Linked DNA regions of Notamacropus eugenii. The protein of the gene in region 1 interacts with the protein of each later gene in a biochemical or structural test. Links are inferred from orthologs where the notes say so. Each region holds a gene or a part of one and is shown on either strand. Other genes may lie near its edges.

What was found.
Region 2: the proteins of PTCH1 (region 1) and SHH are reported together in a solved structure, tested with the Homo sapiens proteins (5 studies listed by BioGRID and IntAct, with this or other methods). The link is inferred for Notamacropus eugenii from reciprocal best matches to the Homo sapiens genes PTCH1 and SHH.

Annotation. Positions count from the first base shown.
Region 1 is NC_092874.1:328,557,198-328,567,192, reverse strand, and holds the start of PTCH1 (protein patched homolog 1), read right to left. Parts: upstream 4,167-9,995; 5' UTR 2,354-4,166; coding exon 1,931-2,353; intron 1-1,930.
Region 2 is NC_092874.1:89,222,539-89,233,510, forward strand, and holds the start of SHH (sonic hedgehog protein), read left to right. Parts: upstream 1-6,097; 5' UTR 6,098-6,534; coding exon 6,535-6,843; intron 6,844-10,972.

The DNA.
Region 1 (9,995 bases):
ATACACTTAAGCACTGTATACAACAATGTTTGTGCTTTGGGGGTGCGCCTCTCCTTCACCCCCTACAAGACACAAACACACTCAATCTTTTGGCAGGACTTGGGAGAGTCGAGACGGACTTGCTGTAAGTGAAGAAGTCTTGTCTGGAGAGTGGGAAAGAGGAGGAAAACGTATTTCGAGTGCATAAGCAAAATAACTTTCACACTGTAAAAGGTAAATGAATTAGTTAACCCAACCACAAGGACACTAGCTAGTGTTGGACGGTTCCCTTCTGAAAGCGTGGTAAGGAATAAGGTGAGAGTCTGGCCAGAGGGGCGGAGTGTGGGAGTGGGATGAGTTATTCATAAATCAAAGCCTGGCTTCTGAGTGAAATCTGTATCAAGACTGTGAGTGAGCGTGCCTCTAAGCACCTCCTTCTGGGACTCTACTAGGAGTCCTGGGGTGTCTGAGGGCAGGGAAGGAGACATTGGCTGTGTGTGTATATGTGAGTGTGAGTGTGTGTGTGTGTGTGTGTGTGTGTGTGTGCGCGCGCGCGCGCGCGCGCGCGCGATCGTTGGTCCGGAGGAAAGAAATCATTGATACTAGAATATTTACAGTGGGGAAGGGGGACGGCAGCGGCACGGAAAATTAATACAAATTAATTAATTAATTAACATAAGTGAATTGCAATCGGCTAAGACAAGGACCACAAGAATAAACACCTGGTCCTCTCCACTCTCCCCCACCTCCCATCTTGCTGTGTCTCTAGGATGCGGTGGTTAAAGGGGTGGATGGTGGGGAGGCAGGATGCTATTTGATAACAATTTGATTTGTTGCCATTTCCTCAGCCCAGCTCCCACAGCCTTCAACACCAACTTTGTAGTAAAACGCAAGATCCACGTGGCGGGCAATGCTGCAAGATCATAGCTTAATCGTGATTCATTTCCATAGAGTTAGGAGACGCTGTGTGATCTGAATTAAGAAGTAGAGCAGCCATCTGTAAGTTACGACAATATTTGTGAACAGAAGAGGGCAGCCACATGGATTTTTTTCCCTCCCCTTTCCCTTCTTGCTGAAGCATTTTAAAAAATCTGCTCTCTGAAAGGAAAATAACGTTTATGGAAAGGGAAATATCTGGGCGTTGTTTATTCTCGCAGATATTTCTTCTTCAGAATCAGTAACCGGGGATTCTCTCTGCTACAATATGTTTACACGGAATTCCTGGATTCCACACATTTCAGTAAGAGTAACGAACACAATGAACCCGGCGACTCAGTCAGACCTGCACCGCAGATTTAAGGTGGCAATTTGTTTACAACTTTCACTTTTCCTACGAGTTGGAGGTCAGGGTAAACCGGTCAAAAAGAAGAGAAGGGAAAATATCTTCTCCTCAAAGGCGATTTTTAAAGGATTTGAGATTTCACGCTTACTCAAAGCTTAACAAAAGCAAAACGGGCTGCCAAAAAAGGAAACCACCTTTATTTCTACCCCCTCCTCCTTCCTCTCCCCGCCTCCCTCCACCCCCACCCCCAAAATATGTTAAGAAATGTGGCAGCATTAGAGGAGAGAGAGAGAAAAGCCAACCTAGAGAAAGGATAGAGGGAGAGAGAGCCAGTACCAACCTTAAGTCTTTTTCTGGATTGGTTTAATGGGAGAATAATTCGAATGACCCAGAAAGTGTACACTAGACAGGGAGAGCACGTTACACAGTCACACACACACACACACACACACACACACACACACACTTCCACCCCCTGCATTAGTTAGACATCCCTTTCCTTCCAAAGCTGGTGGGTGTGTTTGGGTTTTTCATTTCCCCTAGTCTATTTCTTTATCCAAAAGAGGGGAGTGTGTGTATTCGTACGGGTGCTTCCAAAGAGAAAAAGGAGAAGATGGAAAGGGATGCGAGGGAAGTCCAGAAGGAGGGAAAAGAAATACAGAAATGCACCTTTGAAATCTGCTCCAACGCGAAAGCCGCATCGCAGTAGCTCGGCCGCTGCAGATACTCCAGGTCTGGTGCCCCGGCACGTCGGCTCCCCCCGGTCCTTCTCCGCCTCCTGCTGCCGTTTCCCCCAGGCAGACTGGGGTCTCTGCCGCAGCCTCCGCTGCCGCCGCCGCCGCCGCTCTCAGGCTCCGCAATGTTAACAGCTGAGGCCATGTTGCCGCCGCCGCCGCCGCGGTGACTGAGCTGCCCCTGCTGCTCCCGCATCAGGCGGGCTGGCTTGTCTCGGTTCCCCCACCACCACCACCACCACGGCGCGCTGCTGGAGCTGGCTGGTGATGCCGGGGAGTAGGCTCCGGAGGACGCTTCTTTCTGCGGGTGGCTCCGGCTTTTGCTGTGGTCGCTGCTGCTGCTGACAGACCTCCTCATACCGCGGGGGCTGCTGCTGCTGCTGCCGCTGCTGCTGTTGGAGAAGAGTCAGGACCTGTGCCTTCCATTGCAACATTTCGTGGTGATCCGGAGGTCTCTGCTGCGGCCGCTTCCCACATCCAGTTCGCGAAGAGGGTGAGAGGGATCCGTATGTGTGTGTGCGCGCACGGGGGGCGAGCCTCTCTCTTTCCTGCTTGCCCCCCCCTCCCCCCGGTGTCTCCTTCACCACCACCAAACAATCCCCACCGCCGCTTCCTTCGCTCCTTGTTTGCCCCCTTTTCCAGACCCTTTTACTTGGGAAAATGTGAGGAAACCCCCAGAGATCCCGCCACCGGGGCTTTCTCCCTCGGCTCCTTTTCTTGAGTTGGTTCTCCGGGAAGAAAGCAAAAAGCCACGGCAGAATCCGAGCTTCCTTTGCTCTTCTCAGTGCTGCTGGGGAGTTGCTGCTCCTGCTCTCGCTGGTGCTGCTGCTGGAGGCGGAGGCTGCTGCTGGGATTGCTCCTTCGACTCTGGCTCTGGCTTCTGCTCCTTGCCGACTCGCTGTACCATTCTGTTTCAGTGCAGCGCTGGTCTCTGACTCCCGGGACTTTGGGACTCCAGTCTGCGTGTGTGCAGCAAGCAGCAGCAGCTCCTTGATTCAATAGATGAGATGGAAGAAGAAAAAAAAGAACTCTCTCCATTTGGAGAAAGAGGAGGAGGAGGGGAGGGGGTGGAGGGGGAGAGAGCCAGCGAGAGAGAAAAAGGCTGGAGCTCCCGCCCCTGGGGCTGTCAGATGGCTAGGATTTCTGCGATGTGATTGGCTCAAGGAGGGCAGAAATTACTCAGCAAACATGACTATTATTAGCTGCTTAGCAACAGCTCACCAAAGTAGAGAGACCACCCAGGCAGGCAACCCTAGTGTGTGCATCCCCAGCTTCAAGGGGAGCCTTAAAGAGCTCCAACCTTCTTGCATGCAATACTTCCATTAAGGAATGCTCCCCCCTTCCTTTTCTTTTGAAAAGTGTCTTCTTTTTATGAGACGCTTTTTTTTGCACGCACACACACACACATACACACACACACACACACACACACACACACACACACCTCGCGATGTACAAAAAAAGTAATATTTTTTAAAGCGCTTAAAGAATTTCAGAAACTCCTAAAAAGAAAATCTATTCAGAGGCACCTTGGCCTCAAGCTGTAGCAAATACTGGGAGGTCCGACTTGAATTCCCAGGCTTGAACCAATAATGACAGGGTGGTGGATACCGAGGTAGTGCGTGCCAATTCCACCCCCCCCCCCCCCCCCCCGCCGCTTTCTTTTATAACTAAAAGGAAGACGGTCTCTCGCAAGAGAAATACGCCATACATTAAAGATAAACAAAACGGAAAGTTAAATAATACAACACAAGAACCTTAAAAAACAACAACCGCCTCCAAATCCCCTGCCTACACCAGCCCCCTCCCCCTAAACACTTACTATATTCAAGGAAGAAATTAGTGATTTATACTATAGCATCCAGACACCCGCAGCAATTGTATATGGGAGTTGGGGGGGGGGGGCTGTTTTTATTTGAATCTAAATGATCGCATAGTTTAAAAAGAGAGTCATTTGAAATTTTGGCAAAATTGAATTGTCTTATTTCCTTCAAAAGAAAAAAAGTTACTGCCACTCAGTTTGCTTCATTCTGACCCCCTTTTAGTACGCGTACATATTTATTTAAAGTCAGTTGCGAACTGACTTTTTAAAAAGCGGTACGCATCCTCTATATATTTAGTAATAGCGTGACGTAGGGAGGAATAAAGGCTTTGATGTTGAATTCATTCGAAACAAATTGTGCACTGACTGTAAGTACCCATCCCGACGCTTTAGCTAAGGTCACGAAGACATCCTAGGCTTTACTTTCCCATTGGGATAAATAGCCCCTTTTGGAAGCGTACATGGTTAATTTGCCAGCAGTAGGGGCTTGCCTTGCAAAATGTCTCAGAAACTAGGCTGGCTCGACCGCTTTTTTTTTTTTTTAAGAACGTGGGTGGGATTTTTGGTGTTTGTTTTTGTTTTCCCCCTTAGCTTTGCAAGTTATGAAATTTCTCCCCGCAGTGGCGATCAGGGCACTAGCTTCTTTTTTTTTAAACTCGACTGCATTGCGAGGAAACTAGCGGGATGTTGTGCTGATGGAGGCAGCGAAATAGGGGAGTGTTGCTTTAAGGTGCACTCGGTGTGTGTTCATTGAAAAAAAAGAAGAAAGAAAGGAAAGGAGAGAAAAGAAAGAACCCCAGATGGAGGGAAAGTAGGAGGGGCGGGGATGAAGAGGGGGAGGGGGCGAGGCAGCGGGGAGGTGGAGTCTGGGCGAGGCCACGTGACCAACGAGCCGGGAGCTGAGCCCCAGTCCTCTGGAGCTGCTGCAGATCTACCAGCTCCCCTGCCTGGGGGTGCGTGCGTGCGTGCGTGTCCAAGCGTGAGGAGGCGGGGGGCTGGGGGTGGAGGGAACTCACGCCGCTGGACAGGCAAGTGACAAGGCAGGAGCGGAAAGGGAGAGTACCCTCGCTGCCTGCCCGGCTTTGGGATTCACCCAGTCGGGGCACGTCCATCGGGATTTTCATTACTCTTTTCCTTCCTCCTTCCTTTTCCCTCCCCGCTCCAAGGAGTTCGTGTCGTTAAGAAGCCGGAGGAAAAAGGGGAAGGCTGCCCCTCCCACCCCAGTTATGCGCCGCTGCCGGTGCCGAAAGGCATGCCAGACAAGCCATAGTACATTCCTAAAGGAGGTCTCTTCCCCCTTTACGTTACCCAATACCAACGAGGCTTGACTACTACCGGCCAATAGCAGCAAAGAAAGGAAACATTTCCATTCAATTCTGCCCCAAGTCTTGGAAGATGTCACGGGCTGCCGGCCGGTGGAGAGACAAGCCCGCTGATTCCAGCGCACGCGGCTCTGGCAGAAAGAATCCGGCGCCTTCCTTCAGTTCCTAGGATGTCTCAGTGCCACTCCTTCCCTCTTTTCTTTCTCTTCCTCCTTACTGATGCATAGCTTTCTCTTTTTCATCTTTCCCTAACTCGTTTTCTTGCATTTCTTTGTATTTCCAGCGCTTTGTACAGTGCTGAGCACATAGGTTTAAAAACTGCTTGTTGACGTCTCTCTCTCTCTCTCTCTCTCCTCTCTCTCCCTCTCTCTCCCTATCCCTCCTTTCTTTCCTTTGCCTTTCATCTTTTCCCCCATCCTCTTCCTAGACCCCATTTCTTCCTTCCTTCCTTCCTTCCTTCCTTCCTTCCTTCCTTCCTTCTTTCCTTCCTTCCTTCCTTCCTTCCTTCCTTCCTTCCTTCCTTCCTTCTTTCTTTCCTTCCTTCTTTCCTTCTTTCTTTCCTTTTCTCCCCTTTCCTTCCTCTAATTTACTCTTGGAACCAGTTTTTCTTTCTTCCTCAGTCATAGTCCTGACCCAGAAGAGGTAGAAGGAAACCTCACTTATAAGAAGGGCTTTCACAAAGTGACACTCTCAAAGATGAGATGGGGCACAGATGTACGTGGGCGGTTTCATATCATAAAAGGAAGAGTAGCCAGGCAGCCGGGAAATTTAAAATTGAATGTCTTAACTGGGACATCATTTTAGTATGTGGCAATTCACTGTAGATGTAGGCATTATCTACAACAAGACCTCTTAAAAAGCCAGTATGATCAAACAGTGTAAATAAAAGACAGAATAGTGTTGGAACTAAACAGGATTGCAGGAAGTTTTGTATTAATACATGACAAAGCTGTAATATGAAAAATTAATCTTATAGTGAAAATTGCTTTTAAAATCTGAGAAGCACCATCAAATTGTATTGATGTCACATACTGTATGAGCCAGCCAAGATTTCAGGTTATATTAAGAAGTGCTCAGTGTACATTTTCAATAACTTCTGTCAATGTTGAGGCTATCTCTCATTTCGACTCATTTATAGGAGAGGACCATATATTTAGAGCTGGAAGATACTTCAAAGCTCTTAGTTTTACAGATGCCCAGAGAGGTTGTGACTTGCCCAAGGTCCTAATGGTAAGTAACAGAGCTAATACAGATTGTTAGGACAATCAGATGTTACCACATACGTATAAGAGTGTAGAGGTTTGCATGTTTCTTCAGCTGCTGAAGATAAAGCAACTATATCATAAATCACATTTCAAATTCTTAAAATTTTTGTATCAAAATTTTTGTCTGAATGTTATCTCATTGATCATTTAAGTTAATATTCATTGTTTCTTAATGTTGTTTAATATTTAGAGTACCACACTCAAGGAAGATATGGTAGTGAATATTAGTTCATTTTTACATGGAAGAAACATTCTTCTGCTTCTACACTGGTATCCTTTCAAGAGTAAGATGTCATCCTTCCATGTTAATTTCATTCAGTCTTACTTTATTTCGAAATACTTTGAATATTGATGCCTGAAGTTTAAAATACATGACGCCTTTCTACCACCCCTCTTTGCCTCCTGTTTGATAGGTTAACTTTTCATGATCTTAGACAATGCCCTGCTGGTATATTCTTCTCACTGGTTCCCAAACTCAATCTGGAACCTCAGATTTAACAAGCACTATCTTAATCTCTCTCCCATCCCTTCCCTTCTCTTCTCCCCCTGTGGTCTGCTTTTTTCATACACAAGAGATGAATTACTTTGGGGATCTAATTGGCCTGGTTTCTGCAATGTTTTTTAAAAAGGAAGAGGTGCCAGTGTAAAAGCCTGTCTCAACATGGGTGGTCAGGGCTGAGGCTGCCCCCAATTTGCCTCATTGCTGATGCATGCGAGTGCTACATTCCCAGCGATAATGTTGTTCTTAATCAATCTGCCCTTATTTACATTTGTAAGCATTGTTGGCTTTAATATGCATGCCCTGTGCATGTAACTGCTGCTCGACACCAGGTTTTGTTAACTTCAACTAATCACAAGGATCCCACAGACCTGATATGGAGCTGGTTTGGATGAACAGGGCCTGCTAAGGTGTCTCTCAGTGAGAGTCCTTGAAGAATAGCCTTTATTCCTTAGCTTCCCTTGTAGATCTGTCAAACACGTGATCACTTGAGACCTTGTGGACTGGCAGAACTTTTCAGTATAGATGAAGAAACATCTGATTTGCCTCCTTTCATATTCCTTTTAGACCATATTTCAATACATGGGTTAACTTTTCTTCCCTTGTGGTCCAAAGACTTCAGTTAAATTCTGTGAACTGAAGAATCCCTCCTTGTGTTTCATTCCCCCTTTCTCTGTTCTAACACTTTAACTTCCCATGGTCCTACAACACAGTTCTGAAATCTACATTTGATTATCCAAATTCAATAGGACATGGACAACAAAACGCCTGGCCTCTGTGTTTGAATATTACAGAGTGAAGTGAGCAAAGCAAGATATAGCTAAATAGAGGAACAGAACAGAGTATGGTTATGAACCCCCGAATGATCTTCCAGTTACCTTTTGGAATGTTGTTCCCTCCTTACTCTTTGGATGTTCAATGTAACCCTTGGACTTCAATACTTGATAACGTGGTGTTTGTATGATACCATAAGCTGCCTTTTGTGTAATGCCATCCATGTAAACAACATATGAATAAGTATGCCCAATGCATTTGTCTTATAATTCACAGTTTTCAGTATGAATTTCATTTGCTTAATTTCAACCATCTCTAACCTAATAAAATGCAATAGTAATACTTTGCTTTTTATATTGCATTTACTTTTCAGAAATGCAAAGAACTTTTGACGTAACACACTACTCCTTACAATATTGCTGTCAGTTTCACAGGGCATAGTAATAGCATAATTTCGGTTTGTAGACGATAAAACAAATACAAACGTCCAGTGAGTTGCCCAAGGACAGAAAATGAGTTTAGGCGTTGAGATGTCTCAAACAGATCCCAGGAGTCTTGACAATCTAGTGTTCCACTATTTGCTGCATTTCTTGCTCCTTAACAATGCCATATTATCTCCTTATAAATGTTTGTGTATTTCCTTACAAGTTCTCTTGAAGGAATTGAAAGGTGGAGCCTAGAGACAGAAATTAGACCAAATGGTTCTAAAAAGTTTCAGGGTTGAGAAAAGAAAGTATTCAGCTGCCATAGAATCTCAAGACACTGGGCTTGACCTCCTTCTCCCTCCCCCACTCTCTTTTCCTCTACTTACCCCCTCCCCTTCTCCCCCTGCTCAGGGATGTAAGAAAGGGAACAGCTCGACCCAACTTGTCAAAATAATGCTGCTAATTACCCCTGATCTCCTTTAATGGGAAGCTGCCCCAAACTCTACAAAGGAGTAAAAGAGAGATCTACAGCACAAACCCAGGAGCATTGGCATTTATTGAGCTCCCAGAGAGGGGTGGGGGGTAGAGAAATGTCCCACCAGCATCCCAGATATCTCCGCATTCATCAGACCAAGGTTATTAGTGAAGGCACCCCAAATATTAAAATGTAGTGGGAATTATACTTCCTGCAGTAGCCACAATGGCAGGGAATTCAAGACTGCTGAAGATCTCATCAGCTGCAATAAGGCTTGTCCACAAAGCAGTTTTGAATAAAACACAGAAATGATTGTGGTGTGGGTGTTTTTTTCTCTTGCGGAATATCTTTCTGACTCTGTTACTTTGATGTATTTGGAGTCATTATTGAATGCAACCAGAACAAAATATAGATTCAGATATTGAAACTGATATATGTATAGATATTTATATAGCTAGCTACAATCTATATATACATACTTATATATATATGTATATATACCCACATACACTTCTGCATATACATATATCTCTATCTCTATCTATCTTTGTCTTTGGCAGAAGGCAAACCATTCACTTTCATGATCTCTACAATTGGGTGTTTCACTAAAAAAAGAAGCTCCGCTACATGATCCCTTTGACCCACTGCTGGAGCAACAAATTTATTAGAGATATAGGCATGAGAAATGAAAAGGAAGTAAAACAATTCAAGCTTATTGTGTGTCTTTCTTTCATACTGCTAATCCGGTTTACACATCACGCCTACATGTCTCAATAGGGCTTTATACACTGGGGCAGAGGCAGAAGAAAATAAAAGGTGTATGTGTATGTGTGTGTGTGTGTGTGTGTGTGTGTGTGTGTTGTGTATGTATGTGAAATAAGAATAAAAGCAGGAAAGACTAAGATTTTAATTCATTGTGATTTGTCAGTTGACTGTCAACAACAAACTTAAAATATATCTTTTCCCAAACTATTTCCAAAGTGTAGACTTTTTTCAAAATATATTGTCACATTATAATCAAGTTGCATAAAAACACTAATAGCCTGAACCAGAGATTACATACACCTCTCACACTGTACTTAAGATGACGTGTAAAACTCCAGAGTTAGTCTGAGTATATTAAACCTAAAGGTGCCCACCTTGGTTCAGTCTGTTAACTTGAAATGATAATGCAATCAAAGATATTTATAGCCATGTGGAAAGAAATGTTAACAATCAGAACACACACAACTGAATGCTCCTTGTTTGGTAACAATGCACCTATGGCATCCAGAAATCAGTGATAACAACAAAAGATGATATACTAAAGAACATGGTCTTTCTTTATGGAGTCAATTACATGTTGAGTTATTGAGGTCAAACCCCAAATCACACACAAATACAAACACCAAACACACAGACAGTGATGAAAAAGGACT
Region 2 (10,972 bases), about 240 Mb from region 1:
CAGAGACAGTGCCTGTGAACTCCAGAGCCAAGGTTCTTTCTCCCTGGAAGCACGTTGGCAGTTCTTTGAATTCAAGGACTGTTTCATTTCTGTCTTTGTATTCTGAGTACCTTTGTTTCAAGAATGAACAGCTAATGGGACCCAGTTGAACAGGAGAAAAGAAAGTCTTTGAAAATTGTCAGGTTTCTTTAATGACTCCAAGTTTCCCATGAAAGCAAAAGCCTATCTTTTAAATATCAACATTCTACCAATACTGCTGTATGGCAGATATATATAATAGCTTTTCTCCAAAGAATCAAAAATTAATATCATAAAAGGCAATGGAGACTTTCCTGGTGGGTATGAGGTGGCTGCAAGAAATAATCACTGAGGAATTCTGAAGAAAAAGAATAAGAAATGTTACCAAGGAATTAATTATATGAAAGGAATGGTTTGGTCCTGCCTGTATCAAGATAAGAGAGTGCTTCCGTGGTACCCTTACAATGTAAGAAGAAATTGAGGAAGGCCTCTAATATATTAGGTGAACTCCCTGTGGCAAACATATAGAAAGATGTGGACCAAAGTAGAATGGAATTGGCAGACATGAATGGGCTGCTAATGCACTGCTGGAGGGAATTTCAAAATCTATGAGATCACAGATCTATTTGAGTATCCTGGGCCTAGACCAGGGCTTAGAACATAGTTGGAGCCTGCTAAATGGTTATGGATTGGTTGATCTATAAAATTAGAGAGCTGGACTTATAACCAGAGGTTCTTCAGCTGGGGTCTGTGAACTTGTTTCTTTCATCATTTGGTAACTGTATTTCAATATAATTGGTTTCCTTTATCATCCTGTGTATATTATTTTATGCATTTAATAGCATTAATCTGAATAGGGAGCTATAGACTACCAGGCTGCCAAAAACGGTCCAAGACACAAAAAAGGTTAAAAACTTCTGGACTTGATAATCTCTATATTCTTTGATCTTGGGAACTGCCATGGTGAAGGGAACTGCCAAAATTATGAGTTGAGTAGCACTTCTTGGATGTATGATTTCATTTGTGTATTTCTGTCACTAATAAAAAAATGTGACCCCTTAGTAGACAGTCTCCAAAAGTAACTATCTATCACCCAGACTGACAGGAAAGCCAGTCTTACTGAATCAAGCACCCTAAGAGAAAGACAAGCAAGTCAAACAACCACCACCACCTTGGCAACCATCTCCCTTCAGACCCTGATGGAGGCAGTCCAGAAGCCTGAGCCCAAGAGTTTTGGAAACAGCAATGCTTCCAGCCTAGTGCCCTCAACCATCTCAGCCATCATTCTGGGAAGCAGTCCTTGTGGAAATGCAGCCTGGCAACTGTTCCTACAAGTGCTGCAGTCAAGCTATTAAAGACCTAGAAAAGAAAGTTCTTACCACCAAAGTCCTTGGCACTGACAAATAGTTCAACATCAGAAATTGATAGAATGACATTCAAGAAGCATTAATGTCTGCTTTGTCATGGCACCCTGAGGAGCATGGGACTTTTCTATTTGACTTGAATCTGAAACCTTTCATTCTTAGTGAATTTGAGATCAGTCTATTTTCATTGTCTCTTTGTATCACATTAAAGTGTTTAATAAATGCTTTATCCATTCATTTATTCATTGCTATAGTAGGAAAAAAGCATAACTTAGTATCCTATCTTGAGATGATGAGTCTTTTAAAACATATCTAAGTCCTTGGTTGACAGAAGCATTGACTGGGCTTTTCAGCTTGGTAGGACCCTCCAGGACTTCCTTCTGCTGGTCTAGCCTCGGAGAACCCACTGTCACCTCTATACCCTATGGAGGCATCTACTTTATGGAGGTAAGGGTCAGATGCTTTCCTCAGAAATGCATACAAGGCAACCCTAAGAGTAGGCAGTGGTGGGGCGGGGGGAGTTAGAAGCACAGAAGGGGAAATATAGGACTGATGGAAATCAGAGCTGATGAAGCTGAGGCAAGATTGAGATGATCATTACTGAAGGGAAGGAGAATGTACAGAACTAATGGAGATGCCAAAGGGGAGGAGGAGGTTATCCCAATTGGTAAATGTAACGTTGGAGCTGGAGACTAGGAAATAGAGGTAAATGGAGAGAAGCATTAGAGCACTCCAGCATAAATCTCATGGGATAAAGAGAAAGTACAGGTGGCATGATGATGGTTGGGGAAGAGGGCAGTGGAGTGGGAGGGTCAGTCTATCTTCTCAAGGATTTCCATGACAAAGGTCAGCCTATCTTCCCAGGGCCTCCAGGTTATCTCAGGCACCTTGTTTTGGTTTGGAAAACCAGGCCAAGGCTTGAGCCCTCCATGTTTAATCTGAAGGCAGAGTGAGGGGGCCATCTAGTGTCTGGGGCTGAAAGGGGGAGACAGTAGGAGCTGTTTCAAGGAAGGGCGCCATCTGGGGGCTTGGGGGTAGAATCCAAAGGGAGGTCACCTGTCCTCTAGTGGGATGGATGGATGGATGGATGGATGGATGGATGGATGGATGGGGGAAACCCAGGTGGAGTGGAAGCAGAGAATGGGACTTGCTGACAGGCAGAAGGAATAGGCTGGGATTTGGGACTGACAGTCAGGCAAAGGGAGGGGCCTGGCTTGTCTGGAAGTGGGTGGGGGAGGAAAAGGGAGAGAGCCATCTGGTGTCTGGAGGTGGAAGACAGAAAGAGTGTCTGGTGTCTGGGAAATGGGAAGGGTGTCGGTGAGATGAAAGGAGGGGGGAGAGAGACAGTAGGGGGAGGGGTCTGGGACGAAGAGGAGCTGTTTGCCCCTGCTTCATCCACCTCCAGCACTTTGACTGAAAGTGTTTCCCAAGAAACAACCAGACCCTCGGTTTTCTTAGACGATGAGACTGTGAGCATTGTGGAATCTTTTTTTTTTATTTTGTTTTCTCCTTTTACCACCCTCCACACCCCAATTCATGACCGAGAGATCGATGCAACTGACGAGGGCATCAGTATTGGATCCTGTCTGGGCTTTCCCTTCATCCTCATTACCCTCATCATTATTTTAAGACTTGACAATCCATCCAGCTCCTGACATCATTCTTTCCCGGTGTAGGGGAAGGTGGAGGAGAGGAAGATACTGGGAGGGAGGATTGGGGAGAAGGCAGGGATGTCGCATTGCTACCGACAGAAGCTGTGAGGGATCCTGGCGACTTTAAATCAACCTTTGAGCTATCCGATGGGCCACGCCAAGCTGGGTCCCCTGCCTGTCCTCTCTTAGGGAGACGGAGAAGGAAGAGGCAATGCAGCAGTTCAGCCAGATCTCAGAATCTGGGCTGGGGACGCAAACTGAAACTGCAGCATGCTCAACCCCGACCCTTTCCCCTCCCACCCAGACCTCCGCTTTCTCTAACTTCTGACTTGAGATTTTCAACTCTTGGCTTTTACACACACACACACACACACACACACACACACACACACACACACACACACACACACGGTAATAAAAAAATAAAAAAGTAAAAAGCCAACCCTCTATGTTGTCGGTTTGGGGTTTTTCCACGTGCATTTATGATTTGCATTTAATTAATTCCTCCTCTTTCCTTGCCTGTTGCTCTCTGGCTGACTGCTTTGTATGTATGGAAAGCCGGCTAATGAGGAGGTTCCCCGGGATTCTAGACTTCACTCCTTCACTGCCGGGCTCGCGAATGAAGTGGCCAGTGGGGAAAAGCGATCAAGTGATGTGTTTATTAATTAATTAATTTATTTATTTGTGAAGTTGGGGGTGGGGCGGGGAAGCGGGGGTGGAAAAAGGGAGGGGAAGGAAAGAGAGAGACGTGCCAGGGCGGGGGAGGGTGATCAAAAGGTGTGCAATATTCCACACAGGCAGGATCACTTCTTATTCCCTGGCACTATTTAATCATATTACATCAACACGTGCTGCGCCAGGTAACCACATCAAACGACCATACCTTCTTTGGGATATAACGTTATATCTTTCTTGTATCTATTTTCACGGGTTGAGTACACACACACACACACACACACACACACACACACACACACACTGCAAAAAGTTAAAACACCGACTTGTCAGCTGAGGTCTATCTGTCTGGAGCTAACCCGGGAACTTTTAACACAGATCCGTCCTTTAATTGATAGAGTTGGGAAGGTGTTTTCCAGCTACCCAGGGCCTGTTCAGATCTCTTCCTGAGTCGTAGGATAGGGGGACCAGGCTTTGTACTTTGTAAAGATCTGAATGGAGGGGACTATTAAAAAAAAAAAAAACGGGAGGCGGGAAGAGGCAAGAGCTTGTGTCCCATTTTGGAAATGCCATAAGAGTGTTAATTTCCACCACTACCCCCTCCTCAAAGGTTATTGCGATGGAATATTTCATAGACCTACCCAATTTACCGCATTGCCGAGGGAGTTAAAACTTTGAGGTCTGGGAGACCTTTATTTACTTTCTTCTCCCCATCCCACATATTTGTATTCTTTTTTTTGGTCTCATTTCTTTCAGAGTATCTGATTATTTCTTAGTGTATAGTTTTAGTTCTATCTCTCATATGTACTCCTACGACCCTCAGTTCCTTCCACCCCAGTAGTAGTCTTTTTTTTTCTTTTCAAAAAGAATAAATAAGAAATACCATGTTCTTCAAATGGGACGCTTAGAAATTCCATGTTTTTCTGATTTAAATGGAACTTTCTCTGAAATGAGTGTGGAGGTACAAGGAACTGACTTTGTAAAGATTCAGAGATCTAAGGCCAATGCTGCTGGTTTGGGAGTTGTTTCTTGTAAAGGGACGTGACTGTTCCTTAGAGAAAATGCTTTTGAATTAAGCCTCCTCCTGCCCCCACCCCACCCCAACTCCGATTTCCAGCGACTCGGCTTCTCTCTAGTCACTTTAGGTCTGGCAGATAATTTTGGGAGCCCAGAATAAAGACATCGCTGCACTACGCTGAAGAGAGCCCTGAATTTAACATTAAACTCATCCCCTTGCCCTGCACTTTGCTCCGATCGATCTGTGGGGCTGTTTGCGAAGCTCTACCAAAAGATTGCTGTCCTTCAAGAGGAAATAACTCTCTTCCCACACCGCTTCCCTCCCCCCCCCATTCCCTTCTTCTTGGAGCTGGGGTGGGGGTGGGGGGGGTCTAGTTCCCTAATACCTCTTAGCTTGAACACACCACTTTAGTTTGGGCACTGGGTAGTATGACCTGGTGCCAGGGCATCTGTTCTCTCACTCTCCTGTTCTGCAAGGTTTGAAGAGGTGTACATCTATTTCAACTTTGACTGTGTTTCAAGCATTTTGTGTTAACAGTTAAAGTATTTCAAGTAACAGTCCTCTCAGACATTTCCAGTTATAATCACACTCGCCCCCCCACACACACACTTCTAAGTCCACAGCTAACCTTAGTCTACTTCCAAGGATGCTTTCTTCAGTGGCCAAAGGCTCTTCCCTCTTGTGGAAAGATATTGTTGCTTTTAAACAGAGGGAGAAGGAGAGAGAGAGAGAGAGAGAGAGAGAGAGAGAGAGAGAGAGAGAGAGAGAGAGAGAGAGAGAGAGAGAGAGAGAGAAATCTTGCCTTCCTGATAAAGTCACTAAAAGGGATTTGTATAAATCAGCCGTGTTGCACTCATGGTTTTCATTGAACATTTGTCTGATGATCAAGGTTTGACTGGGAGTGAAGGGCGAGGGGAATGAGACAGAAGGAAGAATGAACTGTCTTTAAAAATTGCACTCGTATGAAACTTCCTAAAAGGTTGTCTAACAGAAGCATCTATTACTTTACTTGACAAATTTACCTTTCTCAGGAAAGTTTAAGAAGAAAAATCATGTAATTTATGTTATCCTAATAAATCAGATTCTACCTCACTACGATACAATTCACTTTGTGTTCTTCCCCTCCCCCTTTCTTTTCTTTTTTCTTCCCCCCCCCCCTCTACACCCCCCCACCCCCCCCGCCCAAGCCCTCAGGTGAAAGTGCGGCGGCGGCAGCAGCAGCAGCAAGCTGCAGCAGCAGCAACAGAAGAAACATTTTGTTGCCTTTTTGAGGGTTAAATCAGAAGACAGGCTGTCTCGCCTCGGCCAATCAGATGTGGTCCCTGCCAGCTATAATATAGTGCTAAAGGCAGGCTTCTCTCACAAGCGTTTCTAGGCTTGCTACCATTAAAATCAGAGTCTTTTTGTCTTTTGATTGCTGTCTCGCGACCCAACTCCGATGTGTTCCGTTATCAGCGACCGGCAGCCTGCCATTTCAGCACCTGTCTCGATAGGGATCGGTGGATAGTTGAAGGAATCAGCAAGGAAGCAAAGGCTTATTGAGAGGGAGAAAAGAGAAAAGGAAAGAGAAGAGAGGGAGGAAGGGAGGAGAGAGAGAGAGGGAGAGAGAGAGGGAGAGGGAGAGAGGAGAGAGAGAGAGAGAGAGAGAGAGAGAGAGAGAGAGAGAGAGAGAGAGAGAGAGACCGAGACCTAAGGAGACAGTCTGAGATAGACACGCGCAAAGGCGCGCGCACACACACATATACACATACACACACACACACACATACACACACACACCAAGGAAGCTTTGAAGTAACTGGATTCAATGGACGAGATGCTGCTACTGACGAGATTTCTGCTGGTGGTTCTCGTCTCTTCCCTCTTAATGTCCTCGGGGCTGGCGTGCGGACCTGGCAGGGGATTTGGAAAGAGGCGCCACCCCAAGAAGCTGACCCCCTTAGCCTACAAGCAGTTTATCCCCAACGTGGCGGAGAAGACCCTAGGGGCTAGTGGAAGATACGAAGGGAAGATCTCCAGAAACTCCGAGCGATTTAAAGAACTCACCCCCAATTACAATCCTGACATTATATTTAAGGATGAAGAGAACACCGGAGCGGACCGGCTGATGACTCAGGTAGAAACCCCATCCATCCATGTGTGGCGTTTAATATGTTTCTTTGAAAGGCAAGGAAAATGTGAAAGGAAGCGCTCACAGAATGAGCCTCTGTCCTTTTTTTCTTCTCAGTTTTAAGATAATATCCCTTTCCCTCCTTAGCCACCTACCCCATCACCCTTCCTCTTTCTCAAAGAATCCATATTATAAGTAGAGCTTAGAGAAGTTTGGGGGTAGGAATGGGGGTGGGGAGAGTGCAGTTGAGCTCGGGTTTTATGTCATTGATTTGATTTCTGTGTTATTGGTCTGCTACTTCCTATCCTGTCTCAGCCCTGTCATGCAACTTGCTAGGGAGAGCTCAGCTTTTAGGGCATTCGGCTCCTTGAGTCTGTCCTTGTTGCTTGGGGAGGAAAGGAGGTGGAGAGGGAATAGAAATCAGAGAGATGGAAGAAGGGGGAATCCGTCCCCCCCCCCCAATATACAGTGACCACCACATCAGGATTACTGTCTCTTTGAGTATTAGATCTTAAGACACTTTTTCTCTATCTCCATTTTTATTTCCTTTCTCACCCCCACTCTTCCCACATCTCAAATAAATTCTTAATTCGGCAGGCCAGGGGAGGCTGTTCTGACAAAAGGCAGTGTGGCTTCAGCCACAGCTATTGCTCTCCCATTTCTGTATTATGTAGCTTGTATTGCAATACCGTTTTGCAATTGTGCCCATCGGAGTGTGAATATATTGATATTTCTTTAAGGATGCTCTCTTTCTCCCGTCGCCCGTGGTACCTTAGGGGAGGGACTTATAACTTATTAGCATTGCATCACTCTCTTTTAAATCAGATTGCTCAAGAATTACAACCGAATAAATATTGGGTGGGGGATGGGGAAAGGGAATAGTGGAAAGATGGAATGCAGAACTATCTTAGGCTTGTTATTTATTTTATCTTTAAAAAAAGAAAAAGGAAGAAACCGCAAAACAAACGTTCCCTTCGTACTTCCCTTCCCACATTGAGATGTCTGAAAAGCAAATTCGACCGCCAGTCACGGACTTTCTGAAACTCCATAGATCTAATAAGCTGGAAATGGTTTTCCTTGCAAATATAGGTCAATATCATTTTTATTGCCCTATTAAAATATTTAAGTCCCACCTTTGGTGCTAGCAACGCAATGAGGTTGGAGGAACCGCACTAGTGGGGGTGGAAAGTTGGGGGGGGGGGGTCGGAGTTGGTAATGATTTCCCCCCCTCCCAACCCTATTCAATCCCCCAAGTCCTCGGTTTATTGAGGGGCAGGAAAAAAGACTGTCCTGAAAGATGACTTCTATTTTAAAGGGTGTCCTTAGCCTCTCTTCCTCATCTGCTCTCGACCACCTTAAATCTTACCTAGAGCGTTGACGCGGGCTCTTGTAGGCAGATAAAAGCGTGAGCCTCAATTATGTACAGGCCACAGTGTGCAGGTTGAGTGCAGCGTGCTGGACTGAGTTTGCCAGCTTGCTTGGGCAGGAGCTTTCACTCCCTCCGCCCCAACCCCAACCTCTGTCCCTAGCCTGCCTCTGGCTGCTCATAAACCCACTGGGGGCGGGGGGCTGGGCTGTAGTGAGATGGCTCAGGATCGGAGGTAGGATGGGGTGGGGGTGGGGGGCCGGAGGTTCCTGGCTCAGAACCCTGTTAATAGTTGCTCTCGTTTGTGGAAGCCCGCCTGACAGACAGCCCGAGAGCCCGTTTCACCCATCCCTGGCCCCCACCGCCCACCAGACCTCAGTTCCCGGGTGCTTACAGCCCTCAGTCATCGCAGCCTTTCAGAAAAGCTGCAAGGCAACGGAGCTGTACGCCAAGTCAGACGCATTTTCAGCTCCACTTACTCCTTCTTTATCGATCGCCACGGCTAGGGTTTCAGCTTGTATCCTTTCTAATACGACAGAGGCTGGGGCTGCTGCTACTGCTGCTGCTGCCGCTGCCGCCGTCACGAGTCCAGATTCTCTTAAACCCGAAGGAAAGAAACCCTTCCCCTCCCTTAAAAGATCACGCCCGCGAATTAGCTGCATCACTAGAACGATGGTGATGATAATAATAATAATACTATAATGATAATAATTAAATAAAGCTGCTGGGGGGGGGCTGACTAGGCGAGGGTTGAGGAGGAGCAGGCGGCAGCGGCGGCGGCGGCAGGAGGAGGAGGAGGAGAAGGTAGGAGGGGTGTGGTGAAGATGTTTTAAAGGGCTGGGTACATAGCTGGAGAGCAAGCTCCGAAGGAGGACTGCTAATAGCCTGTCTGCTTTCTCTTTCACTGCTCTGCGTCTTTTCATTCCTTCTTTCCCCTTCTCTCCTCTTCTGCAGCCCCTTCCCCAGCCTCTCCAGAATCCTGGTCTTCTCTCCCTTTCACCCCCACCTCACTGATTCTGCATCCCCCTCCGACCTTTCCCTCGTCTACCTCTGTCCGTCCTTCCCCGCCCCCTCAACTGCTAGCCCTTCCCAGGGAATTCAGCGCCAAGCCTGCTACGGGCTTGACCACTCTGGCTGCCATTGGCCGGCAGCATTTGAACTTCTGACCTTCTGTCAACTTCCCTCAGACGAACGAAACGAAAACAAATAAGTTCCCCCCTTCCCTTGCGCACACACGCACACCAGAGCGTTGGCTAGTCCTGTTCCCGACACAAAAGATGGGGGGGGTGGGGGGTGGGCAAGAGCCAGAAGGATTGCTGGAGGGAGGGGAACTCAAGTCCCCGTAACGCTGCCCCCATGGAAGTACCCTAAAAATAATGCATGGTAGTGGGAAGAAAGAAGAGCTGAGGACTCAGTCCAGTCACCTGGTTTCTCTCTTCCACCCTACACCCTTCCTAATATCCTGTTCTCTGGGCTCCCCCAGTGAAAAGTGTGATGGGGGGGGAAGGAAGTCATTGTTGTTGGGGTGTAGTTGTGAGATATAATAATATCCTGTTGATCTGGAAGTGGGGGGATGGGAAGACTGGTGATCAGTTTCTCTGCAAAGACGTGTCTTCTGAACTGGGGTTCAGCAGGCGGTCTCCCTGAGTTAGACCAAACACCCGTGTGTGTGTGTGTGTGTGTGTGTGTGTGTGTGTGTGTGTGTGTGTGTGTTGCTTCACAAGTCCCTCAACCATGGCGAGATCTTCCCCAGTGGAACTTTGAGAACCGTTCCTGAACGCATTAGCTACTGGTTAATATTAACTCAAGGGAAGGGGGAAACGCAGACGGACATCGCTTACAGGCTCAGGCAGGTCAGGTCCCCAGTCTTAGGGGGGGCAATGGTCTGAAAGGGGGACAGCGGGAAGCTAGTAAGGGAAGTCGGACCTGTATGGAGGGGGAAGTAGGGAAGTGGCCTGAAATTGACGCATGTCCCGTCTGCTTTGCAATCAAGTTAGGGAAAGGGAATGTTGAAATATGGGGGAAGAGGGGGAACTTTGATGGGAGGGGGTGTTTTTTCTTAGTTAAGTAGGACAGGAGACGTATGTAGGGTATGATTTTGCGGGTTGTGGATCTTTTGAAGTTTAGGGTGGCCCTCTTTATGGGAAACCCACCAAGTTGTTTACAGTTGACAGGTACCTGCTAAGTGTTTTCCTCCGAGCATTCATTTGTGTAGAGAGAGGTTAGGCGCTTGGCAGAGAGCTGGGGCGTGTTGAACTACTTTGCTTCGGCTGACACAAAAGCCCGAGCTGAGGCGGCCCTGCTGGGCTTCACGGTGAGTGAACAGAATTGGGCTTGATTCGTGGCACACGACCCAGTGAATTAATAAATTGTCTGAGCTTCACGGCTTTTGACTCCGACAATCCAGCTCAGCCAGTATAGAGTGAGAGTCCTTCAGCCAGCAGCAGCAGCAGCAGCAGGAGGAGGAGGAGGAGAAGGTGGTGGTGATGGGGGTGGTGGTAGTGGTACTTCTCCTTTTACCAGAAAGAATTAAAAGGATGGGGGGGGGGGGGCTCTTGCCAAATCCCCACGTTCCACCCCCACTGCCTCCATCCCCATTCCCCACTCCACACCCGTATCCTTCTTCCTCTGAGTGCATCCTTGTGCTCACTTCCGAATGGCCCAGCTTAAGTTAGAGATCTCGATCCCGGAATGGGAGCCTAGATTGCCCCGGGCTGTTTAAAGATTCACAGTCTGGTGGGGACCGAGACTGTGAAGTGAGTCGGGAAA